Xenopus tropicalis: one gene and its partner. The protein of the gene in region 1 purifies or fractionates together with the protein of each later gene. This does not show direct contact. Links are inferred from orthologs where the notes say so. Each region holds a gene or a part of one and is shown on either strand. Other genes may lie near its edges.

What was found.
Region 2: the proteins of vesicle-associated membrane protein 5-like (region 1) and stx12 purify together in Homo sapiens (affinity purification with mass spectrometry; 3 studies listed by BioGRID and IntAct, with this or other methods). This does not show direct contact. The link is inferred for Xenopus tropicalis from reciprocal best matches to the Homo sapiens genes VAMP5 and STX12.

The regions. Positions count from the first base shown.
Region 1 is NC_030679.2:125,676,249-125,680,577, forward strand, and holds vesicle-associated membrane protein 5-like, read left to right. Parts: upstream 1-1,368; 5' UTR 1,369-1,519; coding exon 1,520-1,651; intron 1,652-2,012; coding exon 2,013-2,150; intron 2,151-3,369; coding exon 3,370-3,549; 3' UTR 3,550-4,060; downstream 4,061-4,329. UniProt on the Homo sapiens protein: May participate in trafficking events that are associated with myogenesis, such as myoblast fusion and/or GLUT4 trafficking.
Region 2 is NC_030678.2:83,639,007-83,643,355, reverse strand, and holds the start of stx12 (syntaxin-12), read left to right. Parts: upstream 1-1,502; 5' UTR 1,503-1,523; coding exon 1,524-1,617; intron 1,618-4,349. UniProt on the Homo sapiens protein: SNARE promoting fusion of transport vesicles with target membranes. Together with SNARE STX6, promotes movement of vesicles from endosomes to the cell membrane, and may therefore function in the endocytic recycling pathway.

The DNA of each region.
Region 1 (4,329 bases):
TATAGCCCTGCAGCACAATCCATCCTTATTAGGCACAGGCCACCATTGAAGGGTATGGGGCCCTAAATGAGTAAGTTAACAGGGCTCACCCCTCTAGAGGGCTCTAATTATTAGCCAACCAGTCACCTGGGTCTCAATGGGAGAAGAAATTGGAGCAATCTTATAATTACTGTGGCTAAAGGTGGGAATAGTCAAAAATTAGCGTGGCGGTTAACTATGTCTCGGTTTTTTTATTTCCAGATGTTGGGAGGTATGGGTTTGTGATCTAAAAATCAGTGTAGATTTAATGGTGCATTTTTCTTTTTTTTATTATATGCAGCTTGTAAATTATCAAGCTTTTTATTCAGCTGCTCTTTAGTTTGGATTTTCAGCAGCTATCTGGTTGTTAGGGTCCAAATTACCCTAGCAACTAGGCCAGGGGTGGGCAAACTACGGCCCGCGGGCCACATCCGGCCCCGTGGCCTTTTTAATCCGGCCCGTCGACGATGCCAAGTCTCATCATGCGAGACTTGGTGTCATTGGCGGGCCGGAATTAAACAGACTAAGGGGGCGTAACGCTGGCCTGGCCCTGCCCGCCCTGGCCCGGGGGTAAGTAAATATGGCCCGTGAGCCAAAAAGTTTGCCCACCCCTGAACTAGGCAGTGGTATGAATAAGAGACAGGAATATGAAGTGGAACAGGAATATGAAACATATGAAATAGAAATATGAGGACTTAGAAAGATAAGTAATAAAAAATAACAATTGTTGCATTTAAAAGCTGGAAAGAGTCAGAGGAAGAAAGCAAATAATTCAAAAACTATAAAAAATATTAAATTTGAAGACCATTTGAAAAGTTTGAAATAACTGGCCATTCTATAACATACTAAAAGTTAACCTTAAGGTAAACTACTGCTTTTATTGTATAAAAATGATGAATGTACCAGTGAATTATACTCCTAGATATAGAAGGATTGTGCTTAAAAAAGTTGTGTTTCTGACTGATTTATTGAGAAATTCCCCCAAAACCCCACTAGTCCCGCCCATCTGTGCCACTTCCTGCTGGCTGAATTCTCTGGGTGAGCTGGGGAGCCGGCGGCTCTCAGTACACTGCATTGTAGGATAGGAACCAATCAGCAGCTAGGCTGACCTGATAGGGAACTGAAGCCTTTCTTTGCTTGCGTGAGTGCAGGGCTGTGATTGGCTCTCCCCCTCCTGCTGTGCTTCTGGCAGGGGCTGTTAGGACACGCCCACCCTTCATTTGAAACATGGACAGAGAACTGATAGGATCTATAGGGAGCTCCAATAAAGGGGCCATTTTTACAGAGAGGATTAATGTTTAGCCTAAAGTGAAAAAAGCACCTTATATTATTCATTATTGCCTACAAAATTAGAGGTTTTTTCCGTGTATCCTATATGTCTCCTTTAACAGCCATCAAGTTGCCTGCTATGCACACTTTAATATTTATACAGAATCCTTCAATCGGCATTATGGGCCTTCTTGGAAAATACCGTATTTTACCATCGATCCCGTAGGAGTGGATGATGAGACAATGCTATTCTTTCCTGGAAGGGCCATTACAACAACATCTGTGTTTGGAAAAGGAAAACTTTACCGTCACAATACTCAGCCATTTAATGGCATCTCCCACTGACCACCTGACAGGAAATAATGTAGGTTCTACCATAACAGGAAGTAGTGTGTTTGCTGTCCATTGACAACCTAGCGGTGTATGTGTGCCTGTGTTTGTGTGGGAGCACAGTTCCTTATATGAGCCAGAAGGAGGACTTTAGTTGGTAAAATGGGATTATTCCATAGTACATAATACTAGAAAAGTATATTTTTCATGCAAAGCCTTTCTTTATATGAAACATTGGATTACACATTGGCTGTTTTATGTGATATATTTTTACAGAAACCTGCATTGTACAGTTTCCCTTTACTCCCAAAAGGCCAGTGCTCATGTGTGATATAGTTCTATTATCATGGACTTCCTTAGAACCCTCACAGCACTCTCTGTTTTTCCAACCCCAGGCGAGCAACAACCTGGAATTATGTCAGCGCAACGCAGAGGAGGTGAAAGTCTTGATGAAAAAGAATGTTGACACGGTCATTGAGAGAGAAGGGAAGATCTCTGACCTAGAGGATCGATCCAATGATTTGCTTAACATGGTATGTCATGGGACAGGCCGTACGTACATGCAGTGGGCATACACACTTCTCTTTCCTGTGTGCAGCCTGCTGTGGCACACTTTTCATTCCCTTGCTTCACGTTTTGTATCCAGTTTCCCTCCCTTTGTATGCTGAGCGCCTTCCACACCCCTGTCATTATTCATACAGAACTGAGCTTGCTGCCACCCACCCCACTGTTAGTGTTTTGCTCCCCTAACATCAACATAGCTGGGCAGATGGGCATAACATTTGGAATTACAGTTCTCTGATGCCCAGCCATTACCTGCTTGCTTCAGAGCAGTGCAAAGCAGCCATGAAAGCACAGGTGGGAGCCAACTCGCAGCAGGAGTGCTTTGCTTGCAGGTGGAAAATAAACAAAAAATCTCATGTTAAACAACTCATGTAATAGATACACAATTTGAAGGAAACCAAATGTATTATGTATATTTATAATAGCTAAGGTTACTGTCTTGTCACTGTCTAGGACTGCCATGCAACTAGGGAAACAGGCCCATAGTGTCTTGTTCTGCCTTCAGTTCCCAGGCGTAACTCTGTGGCCCCAAAACTGTGTTCCTTTCATTTCCTGATGTGGATATAGTTCATCTGTCAGGTTCATTTCAGTTAAAAAGCCTATTCTGATTTGGCCAGTGCAAGCAGGTCTGGACTGGGGTTCCAAATAGACCCTGACGTTTCAAGTACACAGAGACCCAAACAGCCCCCCCCCAGCCCAATAAATAGTGACTGTCTATGGAATCTTACAGCAGCCCCTCTGGCATTTGCCTGAATCCACAGATTGTCAGTCCGGGCCTGAGTGCAAGGCTCTTCTATTGGAGACCCATTTGGTGTGCCCGGGAACTGGTATGATTAGTTTTGATTGAGCAATGTAGTACATTCCTTTGGCAGCAGGCCAGTCATACCCCCTTGAGAAACTGCAAGAGTGGGGGGAGACAGACGCTCCATGCAAGGAAAAAAGGAAAACATTGAGTAGGTGGGAGTGGGAAGGAAAGAACTTTATAACGTTGGTACAACGGGAGTGTGCATGTTGCAGACCTTTCATATTCCCACCTACCTTATTTAACATGCAAGATCAACACACAGCAGCGTGCATGTCTGCTTTCTGAATTTCACTAGAAAATGACCAGACTGTGGATGACAAGGATATAATATATCTGAATATTATAGAAATATTTAAAGTAGCAACTTTTTTTTTTGCACTTAGGCCTGCAACTTCCAGAAAACGGCCCAGACAGTGGAACGCCATACCCGGTGGCAGAAGTGGCGCTGGTACATCATTGCTGGAGGAATTGTAATTGTAATTGTGATCATCCTCATTGTCATTATTGTGTTGTTCACACTGCCAAACAATGAGACCCCTAATAATGCCAGTGGAGTGCATTAGATTAAAGGAAGGGTGTGCACAGGCCCAGACTGGCAATCTGTGGATTTTGGCGAATGCCAGATGGGGCTGCTGTAAGATGCCATAGACAGTCACTATTTATTGGGCTGGGGGGGGGGGGGGGCTTTTTGGGCCTCTGTGTACTTGAAATGCCTCGGCCTACTTTGAATCCCAATCCAGGCCTGGGTGTGCACCACTTACCATAAACTCTTGTAGGGTGATGGACTTTACTGCAAAGCTTCCCCTAAAGATCATAGCTCCTTGTAGCTTGTCTACCTGTACTTACCTGCAGGGTTGTACCCCATTGTTTTTTATTTGCAAAGAGTGTTGGATTACAGTCGTTTTTATTTTGCTGACGGTTGTGTTACAGTCCTTTCTGTTTATCTGCATAGAGACTTGCAGAGCACTGATTCTTTGTAACCCAAGAGCGGCACCGAGACCCTGTCTATGCCTCGAAGATGGAAATAATCCTTCCTTCACAAAAAGCACAATAAAATATAGTTAAACAAATCTATGCCCGCCTATTTCAGTGGGGAGAGGAAAGAGTTTAATGGCCTGGGGGGCAAAAGAACACCAGAGAGAGAATGGGAGCAAAGGTTCGTGGACTGGCAGGTATGCAAAAGAATGTTATTTATTAGGCAAACTATAACAGCAAGGCAGCAGCCCCATGGGAACCCGAGTGTCATAACAAAGATATTAAAATGGGAGATTTATGTAAATAGAAGCTGAGAAGAGGCAGTTGCAGTTATCACACATCCTGTTTTTGTAAGTTTCCTGCTTCTG
Region 2 (4,349 bases), on another chromosome or scaffold:
GCCAATAAGTCAGCAAGTCAATTGGGAAGGGGGCAGTGGAATTTACCTTGAGTTTTTTAATTCATTGGTGGTCAGTGGAGTTGGCCTCTGCCAAGTTTCTTTGCCTTGTCTTTACCTTGATACACAAGGTAAGTAAGTTTCTAGGCAGTTTTTACGGAAGTTACACAAATTGTGTACGCTTTGACGGAACTTCATACGTAATAAACAATTTTAATAACTTTGGCAACACTGCCAGGCCCACCATCAGAAGATTATTTCACCGAGCACTGCACAACAGTACCCCTCTCCCCCTGACGGTGGCTCTGAAAGAGAGGATGATAATGGGATGGGAAAGAGGAGAGCAGTTAAGGGGTCTTTTTTTAAAAATTCCTGGCGCACCTCTGCTAATTCAAACTACCGTATTTCTACCTCCCACACACACAATACTTTCTTAAAGATGATTCAAAATGCAGTGACGCAAAGATTTTTGCGTGGCACAATACTCATCACTTGCCTCTGTAAGAACAGTAATCCCTAACCAGTGGCTTGTGAGCAACATAGTGCTCGCTAACCCTAGATGTCTCTCCAGGGGGTCTTAAAGCAGGTGCTTGTTTTTTAATTTTTGGCTTGAAGGCAATTTTTAGTTGCATAAAAACCAGGTGTACTGCCAAACAGAGCCTCCTGTATGCTGCCAGTCCTCATAGGGGCTACCAAATAACCAATCACAGTTCTTATCTAGCAACCCCCAGAAACATCCATACATAAAACGCTGCTATCCACTGGCACTGATGGACTTACCAAACTGCCCTCCCTCAGCATTCAGAGTTCCCAAGAAGTCCAACAGATATTACACATCGCCATGTCCAGACTGGGAGTCAAAATAGGCCCTGGCATTTCAAGTACACAAGAGGTCCAAACAGCCCTCTACCAGCCCAATAAATATTAACTGTCTATAACATCTTACAGCAGCTCCTCTGGCATTTGCCAGAACCCATAGATTGCCAGTCCCAGCCTACACATCACTCATATATAATTCCTGTATATATCACCTTGCCCTTTAACAGCAGCCTTGAACATACATATCACACACTATGCTTCAACTGCTTACCTGTTGTACAGGTAAACAACATTTTACTAAAGATCACAATACTTGTCCCCCATGTGCACCCAGCATATTTCTCATCTCCCTCCATTAAATCCAAGTACTAGGGGTGTAGGGAAAAAAAAATAATTAGACCCAGCAATTGCTCCAGGACCTGGGATATTAAGTACCCCATCCTCCAAAGGCGCACTTGCTGATTTTTATAAACCAGCAGAATTCTACATTTGCATTCCTTGTTCTCTTTAAAGGAGTGGCAACAACAGCATCTTTTCCAAGCTGTCACGTGGTATCATGACTGGGAGGCGCTTATCGCTGATAGGAGCCTGACAATTCCTACGTGACATCACGGTCACATGGCTATGACATCACGACTTCCTTAGAGTCGCTTCATCCCACCATCTCTTATACTCAGAAAGGAGGACGGGGCCCTAAGAGGAGCAACATGTCTGGGTACATGAAGCAGCAGAGCCGTGCCCGGGACTTCAACAGCATTATTCAGACCTGCAGCGGCAATGTGCAGAGGATCACAAATAACAGTCAGTATCCCCAGTTTTTCTACAGAGCACCGGTCCTATTCCTGTATATATATCCGTGATCGCAGCGAGCTGCACACACCCGCAGTATATAGATGGGGGTACTGGTGGAGATTTGAAGGACGAATTGTTAGCCATTGGCAATGGGAACTTTTGGACAACAGAGATTAACATGTTATATGGGCCCCTTGTATTATGTGTAATTCCCAGGTGCTACACACCCACTGATGTACAGGAAGGGCGGCTATACTGACACAGCTGGAAATAGAGAAAATTATTTATATAGCATTGCATATATGGAGACTGGACAGTTGGCAAATGACAAAAATCAACTAATGTTTCCTTGTGTTGGTTGGTGGGTGGGTGTACAGTACAGCAGCTATCAGCTGGCATGTTCATTGGCAGAGGGGCACAGAGAAGCAGGGGTGACAGGCAGGAAGGGAGCTAAGTGCAGTGGGAAGTCATTTCCTACTGGAGATTCCTGATTGGGTTACTGTTACCAAGAAGTTACTACTGTTAGGCTTGTCACCTGGTTGGGCTCTTGCTGTGGTTAAACTACACATTACAATATTATCCTAAAGGCAGCATTTGTAGAAATGTAGTTCAGCAACCAGTGAAATCAGGCTGAGCAGTTTTACCCTCGCTTACTGAATTTGTGTTGAGTGGGTTACATTCCTGCCTTACTCCATGGGGGTTTTTTGTTCCCCCCTAACTGCCTGATCACTGCTTTGCAAGCTCAGAGAAAATTTTGGGCGTGGGCACAAGCAGGATTCACCAGGTCAGGCAGGGGCCATGAAATTGTAATATTTCCTTCCTCCCAGCATGACAGCAGGATAGGAGTTCATAATGTGTGATTTATCATGTTGAATGAATGAGACTTGGCAGGAAATATGTATTTTCTTGTATATCATTATGTATTAGATTCACAGTATTGACTTCTGCCAATCATTACATACCCCCAGAAGTAAGTAAATAAATAAATATGGAGTCTTGGTACTACTGGCCTCTGTTCTTCAAGTCTATGTGTAGTTTCATTCTTAAACAAGTGTTCAGCTCTTAATTAAAGGATGCCATGGAATAGTAGTAAATACGTCATAAGAGCAATTTGTCACTCCCTCTATTTGGACTAGACATAAGACATTTACTATCCAAACATACCCATTCCTTAACCATCTTAAAGGGGCATCTTTAACAAAATTACACTTTGCCTGTTGGTCATGTTAGGTTTAGTAAAGTAAAGGAATTTGGGGGGAAAATACCTTACATTTTTACTTGTTAAAAATCCTATGTTTCCGCTTCCATTTGAAAGTGAAATCACATGATTAATGTCCTTAGTCTAAGAAGGCAGCAGTCAGTCCTGTCTTGCTTTATAGCTGAGAATCTAGTTATCTTTATAACAGAACATTCATTGTACTGTGATTCAAGCAGGCTTGGACTGACATGGTATTTTTTTTTAAAAAGGTTTTTTTGAGATGATAGTATCTTAATTATATTCAGTATTTTTAATGAGAAGTGGTAAATGTGCACTCCATGTGAGAGCCTCTAATTAAAAGTGGATATAGCAAGGACGTAATTCATGTAATGAGATTTTTTGTTCATTGTTCACTATGCTGCTGTTTTTCTTTTTGTAATTATAGACTAGCACAGTGCAGTGTTTACAGGAAAATTGCTGCTGTCCTACAAATGACTGTTATTGTATGTTTTGGAATGGCCCAGTTATTCTGCACTGATAACAGCACACTGCTGAGATCTGATAACTGTGTTTTCAGCTTCTCGGTATGCTGTCAAGGTGTGTTGTTGTGTCATACTGATATAAGGTGCACTGTTGTCATGAAGTGCGGTACAGGTTGAAGTTACATAGTCTTTTTCAGATAGGTAATGTTTTATTGGGCATGTTCAGCAAATATAATTTATACAGAGACTTTACAGGTTTTCACAGGAATTTGTTGGTGAAAAAGGTTCCTTCCATAACCTAAAGCTTTAACACTGAAGCCTGGCATCCCCCTACCCCCTTTACTTACCTGTGGCACTTGTCTAGTCAAGGTTGATTTAAACAGTACTTCCAGCCTTGTCGGGTCAGTACCACACCCAAAGCCCAACATCTTCAAAACAGCAGCCATTTCTAAAAAAGAAGTTGAAGTCTGGTACAGGTAAATAAAGAAGGTGCAATATTTTAGTTGTAACTCATTAGAGATGGCCTAGAAAAGGAATATCAATAATAAATATAAATTTCTATTAAAAAAAAAAAAAAACACAGGTACAGGTATGCGACCTATTATCCAGAATGCTAGGGACCTGAGATTTTATGGATAAGGGATCTTTCTGTAATTTGGATCTCCATAGCTTAAGTCTACTAAAAGATTATTTAAAAATTAACCTCAATAAGCTTGTTTTGCTACCAATAAGGATTAATTTTATCTTAGTTGGAATCAAGTTCAAGTAACTGTTCTGTTATTACAGAGAAAAAGGACATTTAAAAAAAATATTAGAATTATAGGCTTATAATGGAGTCAGTGGGAGTCGGAACTTCCTGGATAAGGGGTTTCCTGATAACAGATCCCATACCTGTACAGGTTTGGGATCAGTTATCTGGAAGACTTCAGACCTGGGGTTTTCCGGATAAGAAGTCTTCCCATGATACTGATCTCAGTACCTTTTTTAAATTTGTTAAAAGGAAAAAAATAATCTGCTACCAACATGGATTTTACTAATTTAGTTACCATGCAAGTACAAGG